Linked DNA regions of Macaca mulatta. Each later gene encodes a partner of the first gene's protein in a complex. Links are inferred from orthologs where the notes say so. Each region holds a gene or a part of one and is shown on either strand. Other genes may lie near its edges. The genes, in order: CACNA2D1 and CACNA1E.

Region 1 (12,775 bases):
CAGGTGCGTGCCACCAGGCCCAGCTACTGTTTGAATTTTAGCAGAGATGGGGTTTCACCAGGTTGCCCAGGCTGGTCTCAACTGCTGACCTCAGGTCCACCTCGGCCTCCCAAAGTGATGGGATTACAGGCGTGAACCACTGCGACCAGCCATTGCTATAGGTTTTTAAGAGAAAGGTAAAAAGAGAGCTGGCCTACTCAAGACCAATACTTATATATTTTTTAGTGTAATTGATAACCTATAAATCTTACCTAAAAATTCTATGATTGAGAGAAGTAAGCTTTTGAATGAAGGGAAAATAAGGACAATTATGGAAACATATTTGGTAACACTTTTCTTGTGTAATCGTTGACTACCTATGAACTTCTTTAAGGAATCAATAATATTTCAAATAGTTGCATACATATCAATTTTTAAAATGTTTATATGAAGATATTTAATTTTAGTATTTTAATTATTACAGTAATGTTTCCTTTGCTTGGAGTCTTTTGCCATGAAAACCATTCTTTTATTATCCCAGAAGACAAGTGGTTATTTTCTGAGACTCCCTCTGCTATTCTACTCCCCACCCTCTACCACCCCTGCCTGTGAATTCACTCCATTCATAGTAATGGCCACATCTCCATCTAGTGGCTTCCTAATCAATGACTACCTGGAAACCGATGACAAACACAACAAACGTGTGTGCTCTAGTAACACAATCATGATGATTCCAGAGCATTAGAAAATAAATTGCAAAACAGTAAATGAAGAACTAAACGCAAATGCAAGCGCCGAAACCTCCCGTTAGTAGTACTGAATACAGAACTCAGAAATTTCTTCAAAGGTTAATAATTTTGGGCTAGATAATGTAATATTAAATAAAATGAACTTAGAAACTGGAAGCACTTATTCTAAAATATTTCAATATTTTGAGGGTAAAAATCTAAAAAGTTATTTAAGTCAGATTTATTTAAGTAGAAAAATCTGAAAGGAATTAAATTTGCGTTAGCATCTTTTGTAAATAAACTGAGATAACCACCTCTAAAAATTGTCATTAGATAGTTCTCATATCATGAAGCATGTATATTTGTCTCTGCAATGACAATTTTTATACAAAAACTTTATGAAAAAAATCATTTTTACATAAATATTGAAAACTAATATGTTTCATTTAGGATTAGAAATTTACATGCCATTTGAAATCAGCTATTTCCAAAACAACATTGGTCCTGAGATTTTAATAACCTAGTTTCAGGAACATTAATATCATGGATTTAGGGATATGGGTGACTTTCTAAAATTTCAAGCCAAAAACAAAAAGAAAAATTAGGGAAAGTGACTGACCATCCACACCACATGAAAACTTGCAGTAAAATGAAGATAGGAGCTGACATCATGGTACAGGCACCACTCGTTGTGCATTTAAGTTGATCCTATTAATAACGGGCAAAGTAGCAAGTACAGGAAAAGGAAAGAAAACACAGAAAAGAAGACATACAAGATGAGATTTCATGCAATTTGCTGGCAGTTAACGTGAGTCTCCATCCAGAGCAGATTCACAGTGACCATTGCAAATAAGCATTACCAAAATACTCCACTGCTAAAGAAACACAAGATATTATTAGCATACCAAGCTACTGAGCAACAGTTGTACTTTCACACACAACCCGTTTATAGGAGCTTCAATTGCTGAACATTTTTGTCTTGGTCAAATCTTTTTAATGCCTTGATCATAAGATAGAGCCTCCTAGAATAATATTTTGGGCAAGAGGGTTTTTATGTCATTTTTTCAAGTTCATCTGAATATTCCTACTGTCAAAAAACTGGTGGCAAATAGTTGATGAGTGAAGCTTCTCTAACGAGTGACATGACCCTTGGCGCTTCATAAAATATTCTTTGGGAAATAATTTTACATGGGCAACTTGCTGAAGGTGTAGTAGGCAGAATAACATGAGTCCTCCTATCTGGACTTTAAATGTCTTAAGGAAAAAAAAAAAAAAAAAAAACCCTTAGTGGCAATGTTGAAATACTTTCCCTAGCAAGGATCAATAATCCCTCACAGAGATAACTGGGATTGACTGGCTAATACATCTTGAATTTATCACTGATTTTATTTCTTTCTTTGCTCCATTTTTAATTTATATTATCTGTGAAATGTTTTATCCTTTCTGGGACAAATGCAGCTATGTATTTGAGTAGGTAAACCTCTTCTAAATAACTCTTAAAAATGCACATTAATCAATAGATGTTCTGACCTATTTTTAGAATAAACAATTTATGAGATAATGCATTACACGTTTGGATGCTCATTGGTGTGTGCAAGCCACTTCATGCAGTGGCACACCTGGAAGAATCAGAATTGGGAAGTATCGTATTTAAAATTAGTTAAAAAGAGGTGGACAGAGATTTTTATGTGGACTTCATCTTTGAGAATAGATTAGTATTTCTAAAGCATAAAGCTAATGTATTACATACTGATGATGTATTACCTACCTTGTACATAATCAATACACAATAAGTCAGAATAGTATTTATTAGGGAAAGATAGATGAACTATAGGAAACGTAGTAAGCCATCTTTAAGTGACATATATTTAATATGATTTGTAATATTTTATCAAACTAACCCTGTGTAATTGACCTGGTCTAATTTCAAACACCAGAAAAAGAAATTAAATAATACAAGTCTAATATGTGATAGAATCAGAAACCATCCAAAAGAAACCAGAACTCCATAATAATAAGACAATGGCTGTATAACAGGTTTTTCAATTCACTGAAGACGAATATAACTAATAAAAATGTAATAAACTTAATTTTTATATCTTCAGGATTGGAATATAAATAGAGGCAACAAATATATCATAATTAACATTTACTATGAGTTAATTATTTATTAATCTTGAAAATCAGATTTATGACCTTGGATTATTAGTCAATTGATTGGAATTGTGTTTGAAAGCACAATTTCTGTGGGAAGGACATACAAAAGAAGCAACTGTTAAGTTTATGCTAACCATGAAAACTACTGAAATGAAAAAAATCTACCAGCAAGTATGTCATGTTAATGAGAAAAACTATGGTTAAGACATTATGTTTGAGTTAAATTGTCTCCTTGAATTCTTGTGGCCAGTGAGCATTAATTTATAGTATTTCAATCCAGTAGAAGCGTGATCTTACCAAGACATTGTTATCAAAGCAGACATCAGGCCCTTTTCGGTATCTGGGTTGCTTAACCATGTCACAAGGATTTGGACCATCAGCTAAAGAGGCTTGTTAAGGAATCTCTTGTTAGTTTTTTTTCCACATGACTAAAAATAAATACAATGCAATGTATTTCCCAAAACATGTAAGAGATAACTTATACATCATTACTCTCATCCAACACAATTCAAGTACATTGGGATTTAAAGAACTAAATTGTGAATTATCCTTTTCTGGGGCATGTGTAGCATAATTATTCTTGACATTCCAACCAAATTTTGAGTGAGGAATCCATTCTGCCTTTGCGAGGTGATCAGAGCAGTCTAATATTTTTCCTCTTTATGAGCATAAACAATGTGACAAGATTCAAAATGCATTATTTTAAGATGGTTTTCCTTTCCAGATAGCTCTGATGTCAAAGGATACAAGTCTGTTCTGCTTGTATGAGCAGTCGTGTGTCACAGGGACATGTCCCTTTGCTCTCAACCATTATGAATATTAAGTTGGTGTTCATAAGCTTTTCGCCATGAAAGATTCTGCAAAATATGATATCACAGAAAATGAGTATCTTTGTCAAAATAAATGGAAATATTTCAAAGATTCTTACATATTAAAATGAAAGACAAAATACGACATTTGAAACATAAACCATTCCAAGCACAACAGGAGTATGATTTTAGAAGGAAAAAAAGTTTCATTTATTAGTGTGAAAATATTACCTATGTCAAATGAATAAAAAATTGCAATAGATGTTTTATGTGTGACCATTTTAAGTATTAGTTCTCATTGCAAAATAAGCACTTTTTAGTTGTTGATGCACATAGAAAAATTTCTTTACACTTACAAATAATTGTGATACTTATCACTGAAAATATGCCAAAGTTGCCTTATTTTACAGATAACACAACAGGGAATACAAAAATGTCTAGGCATCTTGCCCAAACTAAGGGCAGAGAAAAGTCTGGAACAGTGCTATTAAGCAAAGTTTCTGTGAAGATGGAAAAGTTTTTTGCACTGTCCAGTATGGTAAATACTAACCACTCAAGGGGTATTGGGCACTTAAAATGTGACAAGTGTGACTGAGGCACAAAAATTTAATTTTAATAACTGTAATTGAAATTTCGATGGCCACCTATGGGTGGTAACTACTGCATTGGACAACACAGACATGGACAGAATCAAAGGTTTTGAATTCTATCCCCTGTTTTGTCCACACCTTAAGCTGCTCTTACTTTAGTAACCAACACAGAAAATGTAAATATATATCACTAAAAAAGTAATTTCTTCATCATTATACATTTTGCAGAAAAGTGGGATTTTCTTTTTGCTCTGTTAAGCTTTGATTTCCATAAAACAAATCAAAAGGAAAGTATGATTCAATTTAATGTCTTGGTTATATTGACCTTCACTTTACAATTTAACTTACTTCTTTAAGCACACGTTGCTCTTGCTGGATGTCAATTAATAAAAGGCCAATGACTGTGAAACTCTGATGTATCCAATAAACATGCCACAATTCCATTTCCTGAGGTCCATAGCCTGATACGCTAATCTCCTCTAAACAAGATAGTCTGCTTTTTTGTGAGTTCATGCTTGACTCCTCCTCCCCTTTCTTCTCCTCTTCATATATTCTACCTCCTCCTTGGACATAGAGGTATGCTAGAGAAAGTCATAAAACATACCACGTCTACTAAAAATTCATGAGAGGTTGCTTAGCCCCTCTTGCAAAAAATTTTTTAAACTATTCTGGCACTTTCATAATCTCAGATTACCTCACCTCCTCCTATTTCTTCTTCTGCTATGGTAACATTTCTTCTAAAATAACCTGCCCTCCACCTCTAAAAACAAAGTGTCTCTACTCTGTGCTTTGTAAGCTGTGACTTGCTGCTCTCTTCTCAGGAATCTTGTGGCATTAATTATTACTTTCCCCTCAAAATCCCCATCTTGCCTTTCTCCTCTATCCTCATTACAATAAAATTAAATTCTCCATCTCTTCCCAACATTTTAAAAGATATTTTATGGATACTGACTAAACATTAACCATGACCTAAGAAAATTGCATTTTTTCCCAGTTCCTTCAAATTCAAATAAAGATAACATTCAGTTCTTCAAGTCAGAGAAGACTAGAAGTAAAAACAAAACAAAACAAGACTTTTTTTTGTAAATCTGTTTAGTTACCATATAGAAAAATAATTCATATTTGGCTTAGAATTATTTAGAATTACTAATATATTTAATTTTATAACTTTATATTAGAAATTTTTAATATGGGTTATTTTAGGAAAAAAGTTAAAAAATATCAAATTTCTTTGTGTTCTGCCTAAAGAGAAAGTAATTATCTTGATCATGTAATTATTATTATAGTTGAAGAAATAACAGCTTATCAATGTTAGAATTTTAAAAATTATAAATTTTAAAAGCCTACAGAGAAACTAAAGATCTCTGACATTTTCAACTTAAAACAATTACTCACATCTCTGGCTCCAACACAATTTTCAGTTTTTTCTGTAATGATTATAACAGTATATACAATTTCTTAATGAAATAGGACGACTCCAGAAATAAAGAAAGAAATTACCTGGAACAGTTTCCACAGTCTAATACACCACTGAATGATTTACTATCGTTATCGAAGAAATACTGGGTTTGTTCAGTAATGCAGCTCTGCTTTGACAGGGAGGCTGTAAAGTCATCATCCTCCATCTCAACTTGGGTGGGGAGAGGGGGGTAAAAACAAAGAACACCATTAGAAGGGGCCACTGTAGTCAGTCCCCTGGAGTCTTCACTTCTCACAGAGCAAAATAAATGTCTAAGACCAGGAGGCCTGGACTGGCTTGTTTACTGCTGTGTAATATCGTGGCAGCCCGTAATAGATGCCTGATAAATATCAATAGAATAAATTAATTTAAATACATGATGGCTATGAGATCAAGGCCAATGTGACCTAAGTAATTTCTAAGACATTAGGAAAGGTTGGACAAAAAGTTTCTAGATCTAAAATTATGAGATGGGTGATCTGTTTTCTCTTTCTCACACAAATATTCTCTGAATTTGCTGAACTCAAGCATATCCCCCCAAATAATTTTTATCGTTATGACAGTGACAAGGTCTGAGCATTTACATACCTGCCTCAAGGAGTCGTGGAAAGGTCAAACTCAAGAGAAACTGCTGTAGAATAGACCTGAGTTTTTCAAAAAAAAAATAATAATAAAAATCTAGGGAAAAATGTGTTTTTACATGCACACATACACATACCGTTTCCCTTTATCTTTTTGGGAAGGAAAGTCTAGGAGTGTTTTTATTTAAGTATTTTTAAAATTATATAACACATTGTAACCTTTCTTGAATGTGTCAAGTCATGAAATCAGAAGTATTCAGATCTTGTTCTGGACCAAGTGAGACACAGTGTGTTAAGAAGCCTAATAGGCAATGTTATCAAGCAGAAGTGTTCACTCTAAGGAGAATGTCAGTGTTTCAGCGCATAGGTTTTTACATTCATTACATCTCCTTATTTTAGCTTTTAAAACCATTTGTTTTTTGAATTCCCCCCGCCCCCAACAAAGAAACAACACTGTTTATACCATGGGTTTGAATTTGTTAACTATTTACTTTGTAATACAGAAAATATTTGTAAATATGTAATGTAACTTTCATGAAACAAAATATACATATTATATAGAGAGATATGGCACATTTCAGTTTTATAGTAACTGACAACTGAGCCAAATTTCTAGAACTGAATTTAGTTTAAAACAAGTGGGGGTGGGAGGGGATATAGGATAAAGAAAGTATTTCAGGGTCATGATGAAATTTTAAAAGCCTACTGAAATTAATATATAAAATCACATCAGAAAATACCATTTTTTCAGAATAAAACAGAATTTTCTAAATCTTTCAAATTATCTCAAAATTTTAAAATCGTAAAATCTTCTTTGCTGCTTTAATGATATCATCACTTAATTTTAGCTGGCAAACCTCAACATCAAATGAATATTGTACATTAATCTATGTGGAATAGGGCTAACAATACAGTGTGATGATACCAAAAAAAAATAAATAAATAAAAATTAGAGGGGAGAGAAGGAAGAGGGAGATCATGGATCCCAGACGTAACAGGCTTAGTTACAACTAAACAATAAGAAATGTGATCTTCCAGACTTTCCACAGTGCCACAATTGACCATTTGAATGTCTTATTTTCATAGGTTGTATGGTCTACAGGTGAGGGATGGGGGAGGTTTGGAAGGTAGAATCGGTGAAAAGAAACAATTAGATCCATTTCAGCAACATGATGCCCCTAAAACGATACCAGTACTTGTATCAATAGTAAAGAGGTAGAAGGTTGCCATCATGCCATGAATTTGATGCATGCAGACATCCAACTTGGATACTAAAGACAATTAAATTGTAACTTCTTACAGATCAATACACCTAAAATTGGTGTAATACTTTAAAAATACTTAATACAAATGAAAAGAATTTCAATAGATGTGTAGAGGAAAGAAGACTCTAAAGAGGTTGAAGTTTACATCCACATAACATTGTTTTCATATGAGAAACTGAATAATGGTAATTTTATAGTGCTCACTTAGGAAAAAATATCACTATTACCAATAAGTGATGCAGAGAATGAAAAAACCTTAACTCCCTTAATAAAAAATTTGAGTGTCCCCTAAATCCATATTTTCATCAGATGCTTTTCTATTTTACGACTTCTTTCATTACCAATAAAACTAAAATTTTGACCTACCAGGCAGCAGCAGTGGCCCACCAGCCAATTTGTAATATGTCTGCTATTGATGGCTATAAAATAAAATAATAAAGTCATTTCAGTAGTCTACTTGATACTGAGGACACTTGAGTATCCTCTTGAGAAGAATTGATTAGACTGTGGATATTACTGACCACATATGCTGAGCGATGTCCTGCTCCTTGTTTTGGTGCAGCACCAGGCTCGCATACTGACTGATAATCATAAGATTTGTTAAAAGCATAAACTGATATATTAACCAGGTGTCTCATCAAGCTGGGATCAATCTCTCCAAAAAATCTTCCAATCTGGTGAAGAAAAAAATCATAAAGCAATGTGTACTTAAAATGTAAGTCAAAAATGAACATTGGAATCACCACTACAGTGAAAAGAAATAATACAGAGAAACTGAACTACAACTGAGGAGCTTAAAAACAAAAGCAAATGAGAAACTGTATATGACACTGTGAACAAATTAAAATGAGAGTAAGTGTTCTCATTACTCAGTGGGGCTGTGTGATGTTTTATTTGTGGAAGGAATGGACACACATTACTAAGCACTAAATCACAATCAAATGTCTCCCAGATGAATAAAACAGGGGTGGGGAATGAAGAGGTGTAAGTCAAAGGGTACAAAGAAGCAGTTATGTAGAATGCATCAGCCTAGAGATTCAATATACAACAGAGGACTGTAGTTAATAATACTGTTTTGTCTACCAGAAATTTGATGAGAGTAGATTTTAAGTCTTCTTACCATACTGCAAAAAAGGTTAACAACCTGAGATGATGGATATGTTAATTGGCTTGACTTCAGTAATCACTTAACTATGCAAATCGAAACATTTTGTTGTACATCTTAAACATATACAATAAAAAAAAAAGATCAAATGCCCCCCTGGGGAATGGAAAAGTAGCATAAATGAGAGAGCAGGCTGGCCAAGAAAAAGAACTTGTAGGGACTGTGATGAACTGGAACAAGTCCCATCTAAAGGGGCAATCACGAGTTAATCAGCTTCAGCCCATAAACACTGTCATCCAGAAAACAAAAAAAGCCCAGTGTTGAGATCTCTTTTGCTTTTTCCAAAAAAGAGAAGCCAGGAATATAGATTCAGAAGCGAAATTAGTTGGCATCGAATTCAAATTTGTTAAAAATCTTGTATGAGGTAAATAGCCTATGTGCTGCTAATTTGCAGATTTGAGACTAGAAATCACATCAGTTTTAACCAGCTATATATTAAATTAGATATCATCAACTGACAAATTTTGAAGTGAAAATTTTCTAAATATCTGAAAGATTAAAAAGGTCATATCATGCTAAAATTCTGAACTGTATGTTTTAATGATACCAGTACTAAAATGTAAAATCAAATAACATAAAAGCTAGACTTAGCACGCCTTTCTTAATGGTTTACATAATATTAAGCATTTTACAAATTATTTTATGATAGAAACAAAACATCTCATCAATTTCTAAAACACTGAAAGAGGTTTTGTAATGTTGATCAGGGAAACACACTTTGGAAAGCCTAATTCTCTCTTATTTCAGGCACATACCTGATTAGTATAATCATCATGATTTGCCATCAAAAGAAACCCACCGTCATCCAGAATTACACAATCCATTACCTACCAAAATAAAATGAACAGTTAACACATTTTTAGAAAGGTTTGGAGGTTGTATTGTCTTTACCCCATTATACGTACATGATTAGAGCAATAAAAAATAGAAAATTTTAAATGACTATCTTCTCTTGAACGTATATGTTCATGAAATTCTGGTGAAATAAAGGCCTGCATTGATTTATATCAAACCATCACGCTTGATAATCCAACACCAACCATCCATTTGAGACTGTCAATTCAGTCTGAACAAATCATAAAAGCAAATCCGAAATAATCTTTTTACCACTTTCGTGTCATCTAAATGATCCAGAAAAGTGGATAATTATTTAATAATGAATAACTGATTTAAACACATACTTAGGATTTCAACAAAAAGATATTTTAAAAAATATCATTTTAGTTATCCTGTTTCACAGACTTAAAACACGTCAGTACTGTAAGACTATAATTATTTCATATTTTCAGATTGAAAATATGTAGTTGGATAATTGGAGATTTAAAAGCAAAATGCAAAACAAAAAATGTCCATGGTTAAGAAAATACTTAATTCACCCTGAAACATAGGATAAATTCCTACCTAGTTTAAAACATGTTTTAATGTATGAAAATCAATATAATTTGTATTTAATAAAATCACAAATAAAAACATTGTTTTCAAAGTTGAGGATGTAATGCATTGCATTTTCCTAATGTTGAAGCAGCTTATTACTAAATTTTTTGCTCTTAAAACAGCTACTGCATAGTCTATGTCAAATAGATAAGTTACAAAAATCATTGAAATTATTTGCTCATAATTCCACACGAGTGGGAGTGATAAAGATGATATAAACCGCCTGTTTCCCTTGGAGATATGCAGACACACATAAGAGGACTGGAAGAAAATATCGTTTCATCATTGTTACTCAATTTTTAGAATTAGAGCATCTTCAACTTTTGAAGAAAGTTCACATTTCCTTTTCCAATTTCTCAAACAGATGTGAAAGTAATACAAGACAACTTAAAACTCAATCCATGTAACTAGAACTTTATAATAAACTGAAATACTTCTGGGTTTAGTTAAAAAAAATTTTCCTATAACTATATAATACACTGTGAACAAATTTAGAGAAAGTGTGATAGGTGAGAGAAAACTGCATTGATAACGAATAGAGATGCTTTGGTTAGAAACTTCCTATCCAGAAATAGAGCTAAACATAAATATGTGCAAAAGAATGTAACACCGTTGAGACCGAAGAGAACCATCACATTGACATGACTACTTTTTTAACCTTCCAAGGACATATACATATTTTTAAAAATTCAAGCATTTCACGTTCAAAATCAAAAGCATATAAATTCAAATGAAGCCACTGCACTCCAGCCCGGGCGACAGAGCGAGACTCCGTCTCAAAAAAAAAAAAAAAAAAAAAAAAAAAAAAATTCAAATGAATATATTATTTCACATTTCCGTAGAATTTTTTAGCCTTTGATTAAAAATTCCTGCATATTTTTTGTCATCATTCTAGTCTTAGCAAGAGTAACACAGGGAAATATTGTACTCAAAAGTGATTTTAAACAGTTTTCTTACATCACTGTTTCTTTTGCAGTCACAAACTGGACCAGCACACTGAAAGACAAAAAACCGATTATTACATTTTTTTAGCAGTTGTATTTTAATTACATTATTACTATGTTATAATTAGAAATTCTAGAATAATTTATCCAGGAGAAAAATGAGATTAAACAGTCTAGTCCATAAGAAACAGAAGTTTTATCTTTAAAATTAGAAAATGTCAATCAATATATAAACTAGCATTGCATGTTGTAACCTTGAAATACTTTTATTACATATTGACTAATTTAAACAAAAAGCTTTGAAAAAATAGGAATTCAGAATTCTGCTTCAGTGTAGTGGTACTGAGAACGTATTTGCCTTATGTTTATTTGTATAAAGACCTTATTTTTTTTCTACTGAATTTTGAAAACATTAAATATATCATAAGAATTTTTTTAAACTATCTTACCGGATCTCTGATTGAGGTTTTGGTGAAATTCTCTATCCAGGAATTTACATCGATTTTAATTCCAACAACTGGAAAATTAATTTGAATTAATTCAAAGGCATAATTACCTGTAATACAACCTTTGCAATATGACAGTTTAATTATTTTGATAGCAAGTATCAGATTATAGTTTATTACAGAAGTTTTAGTCTTTTGTTCTTAAGAAATAATGCTAATAGCTCTTAAACTATTACATAAATTGTAATTTATATTCACAAAGAGTGTATTCATTAGCCACAACCTGACCAATTAACTAATACAATAAGCTAAATAAAAAACATTAGTGTCAGGAGAGCCTCATAAACTTGAGGTCATTCAAATGGTATATTTTAAGAGGTTTCCCTAACTCCACCAGTGTTTGCAGTAGGTGCTTAATAAATCTTTGCTGAAAGAGTGAACAGATGAATGGATGAGTAGGTGGGTTAGTAGGAGAGTGGGTGAATAAATGAATGGCTGAGAGAATAACTGATTTAGTAACTAAATGAGCAATTGAGTGAATGAAGGAATAGGTGGATGAGTTAGTAAGTGATGGAGTGAATTAATGTAATAGATCCACTGATGGGGTAAAGCTGCCCTCAGGAGAAGGAAGGCTCAAAATACTCTCCTTTATAACTTCAAACACTGAATCATACAATAAAAAAAACTAATAGCTTTAACCTTATTGTATGCACTCCCTCTAGCCCACTTCCGATCCTCACTGATGCTCACTTCTACTTTGTTTGTTTACTTGCCTGTTTTTCCAAAAAGTCGTTTTTCTATATATTTTATAGCAAGTTTTTAACTGAGCCCTTCTTAATTCACTTTAACAGACACCTAGGAGAATTTAGTATAATTATGCCATATTTATCTTTTCCCTCAGGGCTGGAAACTTAACTTTTTTGTACAAATATGTAACTCCTTGGCCATATAACTTTGTATGTATTTTAAAGTATTAAGAGAGACTTCTGGAGTGGGGTTGCTAATCCAACATTAAAAATTTTTATTATTATACTAAACTGATTCCATAAATTTGTCTCAGACTATAAACATACACACAGTTTTGAAAATTTCTCAAATCTATGTAGTATCAATGTGATTTTATCCCAACTTCATAGGTAACTAGTTACATTTTATTTAATTTTTTAAGTATGCGCGCCTTTGTTGTTTGAGACCTTCTGATGACCTTGATAAACACTG
Region 2 (12,775 bases), on another chromosome or scaffold:
CCTAGACCACCTGCCTATATATTGATCTCCCACCCTATTCCTACATCTTAGAGATATGAAAGATTATCCCGTAGTTCTTTCTTAAGACAAATGTAGCCTGGGGAAAGGGAAACCTATGTAGTTATATTGGTAAACTTTTTAATTGATTTCATTTTTCCTATGGCAGCTTGCAGTTATACTTTTATTTATGTGCTTGTTTACTTGAGGTCTGCCCTACTAGACTAGGTAAGTTTCAAAAGATTGGCAACCTCATTTGGTCACAACTGTATATCCAGTATGCAGAACAGTGCCTGATATATATTAAGGACTGCACAGATGCTTGCTATATGAATGAACAAAGGTGTGTTTGGCTGACCTACCATATGCCCTGTCTTATATGTGAGAAGATGCTGGGGGAGATATTTCTGTCCTCTGAATATTTGGAGGTTATCACATTAAGGATTTAAGGTTTATAAGGCCTTGGGTCTAATTCCCAAGTCATCATTCATTTGGCATTTATAATGAAAATTAATTTAATTTTGAATATGGGATCATTTGTTGAGTAAAATGACCATTAGAAGTCTTTCCTTGTGACATACAGTAGTGGAACATAGGTTTGCCATACATTGGCAAAAAATAGGAAAGAAAAAAAGTAACCTTTATCAAAATCTGCAACTAAGAACCAAAACCTGAATTATGAACACTTCTTCTTAGCAGTAGGCCAGGACAGGGAATCATGAGATGCAGGTTCACCTATGGTGAACTCACTCAGTGAATGATCTTAGGCAAGGCACTTCCTCCTGGGGCCTCAGTTTCCTTTGCAGTTGGGTAGATTTCAGGGATCTCTTCCAGTTCAGAAATACACTGTGCTGTTTGACAGAACTTTGAACTAAAACCTGCTGGTGCAGAGCCTTAGTGGTTAGGAGCAAGAGCTTTGATCATCATACGTGCTTGGGTTCATGTCCCAGCTCTGCCAACTGATGCCGGGCACTCTACCTCTCTGAATCTCTTCTGTGAAATGGGGATAGTGATTCCTATGTGCTAAAGTTAGGAGGTTTAAATAAAGATTTGCACTAAAATTGCTTAGCACAGAGTCTGGCCCAGAATCAATAAAATATTCAAAAAATTTAGAAGTTGTCATTACTTCTATCTTGAAGATATTTATGCCCTTACTTATTTTAAATGCCTCACCAATAGAACTGGGATGATTTTTCATCTTCAAACTGCATAGTATGCTCACAATGGACAGGTGGTCATTTAATTTATCAAAAGGCAAACTTTGGTGTGACATCATGATCTTGACAGACAAATGCCTCCCTCCCTTATTTCAGGTTAGTTTAACAGTGATGCTCCTCTGAGCTTCTAAGAGACATCAGTGTGTCTCTCTCTGAGTGGTTGCGTGTCCCTCTTTAGATGAAACCCTTTATAAGCATAACCATGCCAGTGTGTGAGAGAATTTCTGGCCCGGAGTGGGCATAGTTCCTCCAGCCTGGTTTCTTATAAATTCACTGGAAACAGAGTTTGTCTGAAGACTACACAAGAAATGAAAGTAAACGCCTGCACTTAGAAAACTGCAGTTAAACCAGACTCCATGGAAATAATGCACAATACCCAGAAGCCTATGTAGAATTGTCACTTGTGCTGGCAGAGGGCCTTCGCCCCTGCAGGCTGGGACAGTGGCCAGGGAGCAAATGGTGTGCTGGCCCTTCCTTTCACAAAGGTGTGGACACTCTAAGTGCCAAGGCTGTGGGTGGGGTCCCTTGGGCCTGTGCTGCTCTGATTCCCTATCGTTGTAAGGTTCTCTTTTCTCCCTGAAGTGTTCTGACTGTCTTTCTTCTCTCTACCCCAACCCCACTTTTGTTTTATTTTGATTTTCTACTGCTCTCTGATTGGATCCTCCATAGGAACGCTTTGGGGTAAATATGTTCAATTATCTTTGAAGTAAAAGATACAAGGAATGAGTTGGAGGAGCAAGAAAGTATGGTTGGGAGGAGAGGGGCTCATGCATTGAGAAAAGAGTGATCAGCTTTTATTTATATCCCAGAGACCAAAATCAGGAGTCACCAAGCCTTCTTGGGAAATGATCATTCTTGTTGGTGTGGATATGTATTAGGCTCATATGTTGCCTCTTTTAGGTATGTAGACAGATGAGCCTAATGCGGTGAAATAGTTTGTAAAATATACCAAAGCCTCTGGATGTTAAAGACCATATGAATGCAATGCTTTTGGATTATTTTTATTCAGATCTAGGACTGAATAAAAGTGACTTGTAGGTCATGGCCTGTAATCATTAAGAGAGTATTAAAATAAACATTCTGGGCAAAGTCAGCATTCCTTGAACTCAATTAAATATCTTTTGGCCTCGCTTCTGTGAAAGAAAGCCCTTGCAGTTCCCATCTGATGTTCTGCACCCCATTTCCTCAGACTGTTGGTGTAAGAGTAATCTGGGTCAACATGAAGAAAGAGACAGAGCCTTACTCCACTATTTGGAGTCTTGTTTTCCACCATTTGTGTGTTTTATAAACGATAATTATTTGAATTCAATGCAAAGGTCTCAGGGGAAGAACAGGGAAGAAAGAGAAATGCAAGTTTATTGTTCATTTTATTCCTAAAAATAAAAAGAGAAACATACTGTCACTATTAGGAGTAAACATTTCCAAGAGGCTGAATAGGGAGGGTCATTAGCTGTAGGGCCAGGATAAAGGTAGGCCGGGCCTGCAGTTTGGGCCTCCCCCAGCCCAGTGACTCTCTGCAGCCTGTGCTAGGTGCACACCGTCTGCAATGGAAGGTACTGCGGGAAAAACCAGCCACACAGAGGTACTGCAGTGTGAGCCAAGGTCCTGGCTAGAAGCCTGCATGACATGCTTTCTCTGGAACACGTGGCCCAGCGAGAGTGTCATGTCTGCCACCACCCTGCCTCACCTTGCTCTCTCCTGCACTAATGAACTGTGCAGTGGTGACAAACCTAGATTAAGTCAAGTGCCCTGATGAGGCTTGCTCTCAACTGTGGGTTCATCAATTCAGCGAATATCATTTGAGAACCTATCATTTAACAAGCACTGGATTTGGCACAGTGGGGATCTGAAGTGGGCTACTGCTCACATTCCCTAGTTGATGTGTCTTCTGTTTTCATTGTGCCAGGGTGGTAATCAGCAGCATTAGACTGGTAGTTAGGGAAGGAAGTGTTTATTAACGTATGTGCATGGATGCTTCTGTGTGCCTATGTGTTCCTCTGTGTGTGTATATATGAGTGTGTATGTGCATGTGTGGGTGTTTATGCATGTGGATGTGTGTTCATGTGTGCACACTGGGAAGTGATTTGAGAATATTCCTGAAGCGTTTTTCGTAGGATGTCCCTGGAGTCAAATCTGACTCAAGTTTCTGGCTTCTTGCCTCCATCTCTCCCATACATCTCTCCCCTTTTAGCCTGTTGTTGCTAATGCCATAGTTTGAATGTCATTTTTATTTCTCCCCCATTCCATATGATTCCCTGGGGGCCTCTCCCCTGCAGAACCAACAAAGGACGGGACATCAAGACCATCAAGTCTCTGCGGGTGCTCCGAGTTCTAAGGCCACTGAAAACCATCAAGCGCTTGCCCAAGCTCAAGGTAGTGTTTACAGAGTTTGTTCCCATCAAATCCCCTTCTCCCGTCTTCTCTCTTTAGCCATGGCTGGCCTGCCTTTGGAGAATTTGTTCTGGGAATATTCCTTTTTCTCACACGGATATTGAAGTTCTTTTCATCTGTCTGAGCTAAAGGTCTTAGTTTCAAAGGAAAATAGCCAACATCCCAAGAAATCTGTAAGAAAGCTTTTCCTTTTAGTTCAGACCCAGGTGGTATCTTCTCTCCAGTGTGATATGTCATCCAAGAGGGAATCCTGTGTGGCTTTGTCCTGGGGCCTCCTATGTCCCCAGTGCAGACCCAGAACACCAGAATGGACGCAACGGGACCCCTCTGTGTGTTGTGGTCTGCGTAGTTTTTAAGGCCGAGTATCCTGGGACATTTTCTTTTTCTTACAGCTCTAGAGGAGAAGAGGCTCTTCTGGCCCCACCCTTTATAATTTTGAGGCACAAATAGGTCAGTAACTTGTCCAAGGACATGCAGTCCATTTTTGGCAGAGGCAGAGAAGAAATGGGGAAGTGAGCTGACATGAATTAAGTTCTTCCTATTGCCAGGATTTTTACTAGGTATCTTACCCAGATTTCTCCTTGTCTAATACTCCACCTGCTCAACTCGCCTGGGGCTCCACTTTCCATGAGCCTTCCTGCCTCTCAGGAAAGCATCATGCGCTCTATTACACAAGTCTGCTAGCCTGTTGAACCCACCTGCCCCACCCCACATACTTTGCTGTTAATAGAAGCTGAGTCTCCATGGGAGGAAAGTTCTTTCTCCCTGAATTCCTATGAATGTCAGCAAGTCACTGCCAGGGAGAGGAACAGAGCTCCTGGTTTCCAGCCCCAAAGTCTTTCTGCTGCTCAGTCCACACAGCCAGCCAAGCCCCATCTTCAGGGGCTACACCAGAATACTTTCCAGCAAGCAGACTCAATTCCCTAACTTCTGCATCGCATGGAATCATGCAGTGCTTCTCAAGGTGTGGGTCATAGGCCACCTGCATCAGGATCACCTGGGTACTCCTTAAAATCCAGATTGCTGGCCACAACACAACAGAGCCAGAATCCCTGTGGGAGGGGCTTAGAGTGCGCCTCTTAAACCGGCTTCCCAGGTGACTCTTAGAATATAGTGTAGTTTGAGAACCCTTGTCAACATTAAAAAGATCCCACGTGAGTGCCAGGCTCAGCTCTAGGACTTAGGAGCTATATGACCTAGGGCAAATTACTTATTCTTTGACTTTCTTTCACATGGGAAATGAGGACACCTTGTAACTCATACATCTGTGGTGTGGAGAAAATGAACTGATGTGAGTGGTCCCTGTTAGAAAACTCAACAGTTCCTCTGGAATGCCTGGGCCTGCTCTCCCAAGCCTGCCACAGGGGACAGAGCTTGGGGAGGGCTCTTGTGCATTTGACTCTCCCTTGCTTCTCAATTCCCACTTCCTACTGGATTCTCATCACCTCTGATACTCTTTGCCCACCCCGACCCCAAACCTCCTTCAGGCCTCATAGCACTGCTTCCCTTTCAGCCATTTGGCTCTGCAGAGAGGTGGCAAAACTAACTAGGTTCATGAAACAGAAGAAAAGTCACTTCTGAGAGGCCCTGATGTGACTGAAACCTGGCTACGTTTCAGAGCCCAGGGGCCCTGGCCCACCGCATGGGTTCCCAGAGAGAGACACCCATGCTCCCAAGGAAGTGGCCTGGCCGACTGCTGTCCTCCCTGGCTACCCCGCTTTGCCCCTGGAGGAGGCACTTGCACAATGTCAGCTGTTTATTACTACCTTCCTGCCCAATAATGGCCCAGTTCAGCACCTGCCCATAAATACTCATTGGGTTGTGCCTCACACCCCACAGTGTGCTGCCTGGGGCCCTGACCCTTATCAGTGTTGTCAGTGATCCTGCAGGGCAGGATTCAGTGGGCCTCAAGGAGAGTGCAGACAAGCTTGATGAGATTAGTTAATAGGCCAGAGAAAGCACCCTGCAACCTTGCTTAATTCTGTTAAATTAGAAAGGGCTAGTTCCTCGCTCTGCAGCTCCATAACCTGAGGGAGACGTAGGTGGCTCTGACGATTCCACAAGGCTGCCTGTCACTCACATTCCCCGCAGTGTTGAACTAATTAAACCAGCAGTGCTTCACCCAGTGCTGCAGAGAAGCAACTGCACAAATGCAGCACCACTGTGGGGCTAGATTATCCTGTGAGCTAAACCTAAAACCTAGAAAATAACCTAAAAATGGCCTGAAATGTGTTGAATTCCCATGTAACTCCTCACAGCTTAGGGCATAGAGTGGAGGTCACTGGAGGTCTGTCGCCTTTTAACTGAAGTGTAAGTCCCTGGTTCTATCTACCCAGTCTCGCCATCTCTAACAGAAGGTGTGTATTGGTCTTTCCCACTTTCCTTCTATTGGTCTTCATCCCCAATGCAGCCACCATAACTAGAGAACATTTACGTGAAATACTGAATATAATCACAAATGTATGAACTTGCTATGAAATATTAGTGAAATGAACAAAGATGATAGTGTATTATTACCTGATCCTTTTAGAAAGGTAAGGAGAAAATAATACATAATCAGTATATAATTCGAATCTAAGAATGTCACCAAATAAAGCACAAGCTATTTAAAGACTAAAATGGGCTAAATGATCTCAAAGATCCCTTCCAGCAATACACTTCTATGCTTCACACTAAGTGGAGTACCCGTACCAGGAACCCACAGAGGACCACATTCCTTGCTTGATAACATCAGATTTCTACTGCATTGGGTCTACATTCGGTTTCAGAACATGTGTTCCCATTTTAGGTGGTAGGTCTTTGCAGTCATAACCAGCTTAGAAGCCAGCCCTTAATCTCATGAGCGACGCCTCACCTCTTAGCAGGAAATTCTATCCTGGGACAACTTCTTAGTGGGGCTTGGTGGTGGTGGTGTGGCCCAGCTCAGCTCTAGGCAAGTGTGCAGACCATCACAGGGTTCACACAGCAGGGCTCTTTGCTCTATCCACAGGCTGTCTTCGACTGCGTGGTGACCTCCTTGAAGAATGTCTTCAACATACTTATTGTCTACAAGCTCTTCATGTTCATCTTTGCTGTCATCGCAGTTCAGCTCTTCAAGGGAAAGTTCTTTTATTGCACGGACAGTTCCAAGGACACAGAGAAGGAGTGCATGTAAGTGCCGCCAGCACATCCCACTTGATTTTGCTGAAGCATGTCCTGATGAGCCCACTCCACCCCCACAGGTCCACCTTCCCTCCTTTCTATCTTACCCATCTCCACGCTTCTTTCAGCAAAAAGACAAAACAGGGAATCAATAAACTTTTTATTGAGTGCCTCTTTTGTGTCAGACATGAAAACTTCAGTGTAAACTGTCTTGTACCATGACATTTTACACTCGAGTTTTCATTTTAAACCCCTATAATGAGCTATTAAAATGAGTTTTATTTGCTTATTATACAAGTGGAAGCTAAAACTCAGAAAGTTAACCTTAAGCAAGTTGCTCAAGGTTACACAGCCACTAGTGAAAGGGTTGGGATTTACTGCCATATCCATTGGGCACCAAATCCCATTTTTGCTCCATGGTAAAAATACGTTCCTTTAATAAAATTCCTTTTCCTTACACATATATGGTGATCATTATTACTCCCAAATTATTGTGGCCTGTAGAATGTGCTGACTCTTCCATGAGCTATAGTGAGGGGTCCCTCTTTCATTTCTGCTCTGGTTTTAGAGGCAACTATGTAGATCATGAGAAAAACAAGATGGAGGTGAAGGGCCGGGAATGGAAGCGCCATGAATTCCACTACGACAACATTATCTGGGCCCTGCTGACCCTCTTCACCGTCTCCACGGGGGAAGGATGGCCTCAGTGAGTGACTGAGTTGGCATGCTTGTATGTGGCTGTGATAGGCCCCCCGGTTGCCTTGAGAAGCTGACTCAAGATGAACAAGGCTCACCCTTTGTTATTGTATCAGGGAAAGTAAGGGGTTTTCAGAAGGTGACACAGGCAGAAAAGAGGAAGAATGAAAATTCTTCAGGCAAAAATGGAGAATCGGGTGAGCAAATCAGGGAAATATTTGAAACTCTTAATGTTTTAGCCAATTATTGAGGAGTTGAGTGGAACCATCTGACTTCTGTGGAACAAATGAGTTTTGAACAGCCCTGTACCCGTAAGGAGAGCTCCTGAGAGCTGTTATAGACAGATTTATCCTCCAGGGGGACCCAGTACCTGAGAGCCTGAGGATTGAGGGTTAAGAATGAGTTGGCAAAACCCAAAGGCACTTCCTGTGATCATGAAGAAGACCACAGAATACAGGTCTTATGCTGCCCATAGCTGAAAGCTAATTTTTCAGAGACTTAGCAATGACTAAGACACCACTTTCTGGTGGCAGCATGTTCTTGTTGGCAGCAAACTGTTAAATGGAAATCTGGGAGTCTCTTTGTATTGAACATGGCAACCTAAACTATGAAATTATGTCCCTCTGTTGCTTAGGAGTCGAGTGCATGATGGAACGGGGGCTAGAAAGAGAAGCGGATTGTTGATAGCAGGATATGACACTTGGGTTTGGACTCAAAAAACTTAATGGAGGATCTACAAAGTCAAAGAAGTCAGATAAAATATTATAATAGGTGGCATATCTCCTAATGAAGCCAAGACTGTCATCCACCATCTGTGCCCTCTCGTTCTGTCCCCACAGAGTTCTGCAGCACTCTGTAGATGTGACAGAGGAAGACCGAGGCCCAAGCCGCAGCAACCGCATGGAGATGTCTATCTTTTATGTGGTCTACTTTGTGGTCTTCCCTTTCTTCTTTGTCAATATCTTTGTGGCTCTCATCATCATCACCTTCCAGGAGCAAGGGGATAAGATGATGGAGGAGTGCAGCCTGGAGAAGAATGAGGTAACAACAATTGGTCTAAAGTGGGAGGCAGCAGGGGCTCCAGAAAGGATTCTTGGGCCAGCAGTGTAAGAAAGGAGGACTGCATTTTCTTAACTTGATTAAGAATTATAGAGAGAAGATGAGAAAAGTAATTATTCAGCCATTAAATAAACATTTTCCAAGCACTGTTTAAGGCCTGTGTATGAGGCACAGAGATCTGGAAGATGTGTAAGATGTTTATGATGCAGTCATTACCTTTGTGTATGCATAGTCTAGAAAACAAAGATGTGTGGCACAATGATAATATCAGATATCTGCTTATCTGGCTGCTGTGACCTTCCATGCCATGTATTTGCTGTAAGGGCAGGGAATGTGTCTTATCACAGCTTTTCCAGCAACAAGCATAGTTCTGGCACATTGTAAGGTTTCAAAAGCTTTTTTTGAAATTTCTTTCCTTTTTTTTTTTTTTTAACAATGGAACTGAACTAGAAACGTTAGGGACTGTAAGAAATGTGACAGAAAGTGCTGTAGAAATACATAGGTAGGTAGATCTTTACTTCTGACTAAGGGCACCAAGGAAGGCTTCCTGCCTAAATAGCTCAGCCACATGCTGTGTAAAGGACTTTTTAAATAATCATGAAGTCTCTACTCCACGTGACAACACCTCCTTCAAGGTGATGCCTTGTCTGTAGTTTTGTCTAGGTGACCCCAGTTGCCATCTTTACTTGCCCAGCCCTGCCCTTTTTCCCATTCACTGCCCTCCTCTTCTGAGCATGGAACAGAGCCTGCCATGCTAGATCTATGGGATCTGAGCTTGTGCGAATAACCATGACTTTCTTGCAGAGGGCGTGCATCGACTTCGCCATCAGCGCCAAACCTCTCACCCGCTACATGCCGCAGAACAGGCACACCTTCCAGTACCGCGTGTGGCACTTTGTGGTGTCTCCGTCCTTCGAATACACCATTATGGCCATGATCGCCTTGAATACCGTTGTGCTGATGATGAAGGTGAGAGGAGAGAGGCACAAGAGCCGGCTGAGCCCCAGCGATGGTTCCCTCCCACGGCAAGTGGGAAGACACCCCAACATCCCAGCCCGTCACTGCTTTACCTACTTTTCCATCATGGAATCCTTTTGTGATCTGTATTTTGTTCAACAACCCAACCTCTGGGGCTTTGGGGGTCCACTGAGCAAAATGCAGTGCAGCCTATAGTAGCCATCCAGGGGCTCCCAAGACCTGAGATGGCAATGGGAAGCAGCTTCAGACAAGGGTGGGAAAATCAGGAGACAGAGATCCATCATCATGGGGTCTGAAGAAGCCTTGGAGTACTCAGACAGGCTCATCCTGTTTAATACTAAATGACTAACTCCAGTAACTAACTCTAGAAAATGTTTCTTCTCTGCCCACCCTCATCTCTAGGAAGACTGGCCATTTTGCTGTTAAGTCTGGTGGAGTGTGGGTCTGTGTTTTCCTTTGTTTTGTTGGGTAGAATATGTGGTTCTCCCCTCCAGCACTCGAAGTCCATCTCTCCTCCTGTACTGCGTACCAGAGTCTCCTACAGGGCAGGAATGAGAGATGGCCAACCTCGGTGACATGTATTCCCCCTCTTACCTTAAGGCTGTGATTCTTTCTCTCTTCTTTTCTCTTCCTGGCAGTATTACTCTGCTCCCTGTACCTATGAGCTGGCCCTGAAGTATCTGAATATCGCCTTCACCATGGTGTTTTCCCTGGAATGCGTCCTGAAGGTCATCGCTTTTGGCTTTTTGGTATGTCGCTGAATCCTTCCCAGCACTGGGCGTGTCTCTTTCTGTTGGGTGCTTTCCCAGCCTTTGTTGAAAGGGAGGTGGTTACTGCTATTTCAGAAATCACCCACCTAGATGTGGGCTCGTTTTGACTGCTCAGTAAACTGCCATAGAGACAAGATGTGTGAGGAAGTTGGGAGAAAGGGCAAAGGAAGCCACATCCCAGGTTCATGCTTATGGGGCTATCAGCCCTGGTCCTGTGAAATTCTGTCAGCAGTCCAGAGGCGGCCATCATTGGGTTTTACTAGAACTACAATTTATGTGTAGATGAAGGAGCAAGCCAAAGATTGGACTAATAAACTTCGAGTGCTTATTTACTGGTAAAAGGTATAAGAGCTTTATAACACAAATGGGAAAATACCTATCGCTGTTAGCCTCAAACATAGCAAATAATAGATTTTACCTATTAGTCCTTCTGCCATTAGTAACATGAAGAATAGTTTCTGCCAAAGAAAATAGGTGTTTATTACTTATGCCTATAAAGGTTAATGGCCTTTAAGAGGTATGTGTGTGTGTGTGTGTGTGTGTGTGTGTGTGTGTAGTGCAACGGGAAGGATTCTGGAATTAAGTCTGAGGAGGTTTGGCGATGATGAATTTTTCTGCTAGGAGCCCTCTTTTTTCTTCTCCTCAACTACTATTAATAATTATAATGTTTGGCAAATTCTTGCATCTGTTCTCAAGAGTGTTAAGAAAACCTAGCCCTTTGCTTCAGTGTCCTATAAACAAGATAATCCCGTTGGCCACCCTCCCCCCACCTTGCTTCAGTGTGTACAGTGAGTTCAGTGGGATGCAAGCCCACGTGACAGCTGTTTCACACTTACTTAGGGTGTGAGCTACCATTTCAAATTACATGGGTATGTGGCTTTCCCTGCAAGAAGGAGAACTTTGCTCATTATCTGAATAAGTGTTTGTCTGGTAGCAGCTTTAACAGAGGCTCTGGGCTGGGTTCAATAATTGTGAGAGTTGATTACGGGGGCTGCTTTTGGTCTCCCAGCGGGTTCTTTGAAAAACCATTAATTTGATCATTTTGGGTGGAGAGTTTAAGGGAACCAATTGCAGTTGGCTGCATTGTGTTTGCCTGGCTCCCTTGTGAGTGTTTTGAGACTTGGGGAAATAAAAAAGTAAAAGAAACTACTACCAACAAAGATGCCTTTATAATACAGTCTAGCCCTGAGCAGGGGGAGTTGACCGAGAGGGAGACACAAGCACCACAACAGGGAAAGTTTTTCTGTGCATATTGATTACTTGTATGTGGTATTGACATTGTCTGTGACTTCAGACCCATTATGTGTCTAATTATGGCGAATGCTGAATATATACTCACAGCCTTAACTAGATTCGGCCCTTGAAGCCTGCATCCTTCCCACCCTACCCCCATGTTTTCGTTCAAGGTCTAGAGGGATTTTCACTCTATAAAAGGTACCACTAATTCTGATAAGTCCTTACATTGTTAAAGCACTCTAAGCCTTCAGAATATCGTAATATATACTATTTCATTAGATCTTCTCAGTGACTCTGAAATAGGCATGGCAGATGTCACTATCATAATTGCCATTATTGTTGTTGTTTTAAATGAGGAAATTGAAGTTCAGAAAAATTGTATAGCTTCCTAAAGATTACATAATGACAGGCAATAGAATTGCAAGGCAAAATGGGAAAAAAAAAAAAGGAAAGGAAAAAGAAAAAGAGGGTAAGATGTAACAAAAATTGTTTGGTTATCAAGTACCAAATGCTTTACATATTGTTTTTCTCTCCATAACAATATATTAGATAAGCATTCTTATTTTTGCCTTTTTATGGATCAGCTGGAGCTCAGAAAGGTTGAATACTTTGGCAAGATTAGTAAGAGGTAGGGCTAGGATTCAGACCCTGTTCTTTCTAACTTCAAAGCTCACAATAATCTACTAGTCTACACTACACTGTACTATTCTATACCATACACCACAGTGTGCTAGTCTATACCACAGCATGCTATTCTGTATTGTAAAGCATTGTTAACTGGAATCCAGAGCTTCTGGTCCTCTGAGACTTAGATCCATGCACCAATATTTAGAAAGAATTAAAACCAAGAATTAGGAAGTTCACCCCAGGTGGGACAATAGGAGAGCCCTGAGAATTGAGGAATTCAGCTACTTAATTTAGCTCCACCACTGATAGACTAAATATTCTAATGGAAAGTGAATTTATGAAACTCTGTGCTTCAGTCTCTCCACATGCCCCATAAGTACACGTGGCTTTGGAATAAGGCCTCTCTCAGCCTCATTTTCTCGTACATAAAATGAGGATAACAGTAGCTACCTTATGGCCTTAGCTACTTTGTTGTATGTATCCAATTAAGTGATATTCATAGCCTTCTGAGTGGATGTTCATTAAATATAACTTCTCTCTCTCTCCACACTCCTTTTCTCTCTTTATTGGGTATTTTTCCCCCCTCTTGCCAACTTTTCCATTCAGGATTCTATGAACATGGGGTATTTGTCACTCCCTGCCTCTAGGATCCATGAGAGGAAT

What was found.
Region 2: the proteins of CACNA2D1 (region 1) and CACNA1E are in contact, whole or in part, in a cryo-EM structure (PDB 8EPM), measured with the Homo sapiens proteins. The link is inferred for Macaca mulatta from reciprocal best matches to the Homo sapiens genes CACNA2D1 and CACNA1E. Residues at the interface, in NP_001353796.1 of Homo sapiens: Thr170, Asp171, Tyr173, Ile233, Leu235, Ser261, Gly262, Ser263, Ser265, Gly266, Leu267, Lys270, Ala327, Lys328, Gly329, Ile330, Thr331, Glu366, Gln391, Asn393, Tyr394, Ile416, Gly417; in NP_001192222.1 of Homo sapiens: Gln110, Leu112, Pro113, Glu114, Asp115, Asp116, Lys117, Pro119, Arg122, Asn630, Phe631, Asn632, Asp633, Gly634, Ile1330, Gly1331, Asn1332, Val1334, His1336, Met1341, Val1343, Arg1346, Arg1393, Ser1394.

What each region holds. Positions count from the first base shown.
Region 1 is NC_133408.1:137,474,856-137,487,630, reverse strand, and holds part of CACNA2D1 (voltage-dependent calcium channel subunit alpha-2/delta-1), read right to left. Parts: intron 11,629-12,775; coding exon 11,561-11,628; intron 11,164-11,560; coding exon 11,125-11,163; intron 9,561-11,124; coding exon 9,489-9,560; intron 8,243-9,488; coding exon 8,090-8,242; intron 7,988-8,089; coding exon 7,935-7,987; intron 6,367-7,934; coding exon 6,311-6,366; intron 5,894-6,310; coding exon 5,764-5,893; intron 3,722-5,763; coding exon 3,612-3,721; intron 3,245-3,611; coding exon 3,162-3,244; intron 1-3,161. UniProt on the Homo sapiens protein: The alpha-2/delta subunit of voltage-dependent calcium channels regulates calcium current density and activation/inactivation kinetics of the calcium channel. Plays an important role in excitation-contraction coupling.
Region 2 is NC_133406.1:39,171,887-39,184,661, forward strand, and holds part of CACNA1E (voltage-dependent R-type calcium channel subunit alpha-1E), read left to right. Parts: intron 1-1,883; coding exon 1,884-1,895; intron 1,896-3,490; coding exon 3,491-3,587; intron 3,588-6,594; coding exon 6,595-6,755; intron 6,756-7,314; coding exon 7,315-7,452; intron 7,453-8,281; coding exon 8,282-8,483; intron 8,484-9,305; coding exon 9,306-9,470; intron 9,471-10,117; coding exon 10,118-10,228; intron 10,229-12,775. UniProt on the Homo sapiens protein: Voltage-sensitive calcium channels (VSCC) mediate the entry of calcium ions into excitable cells.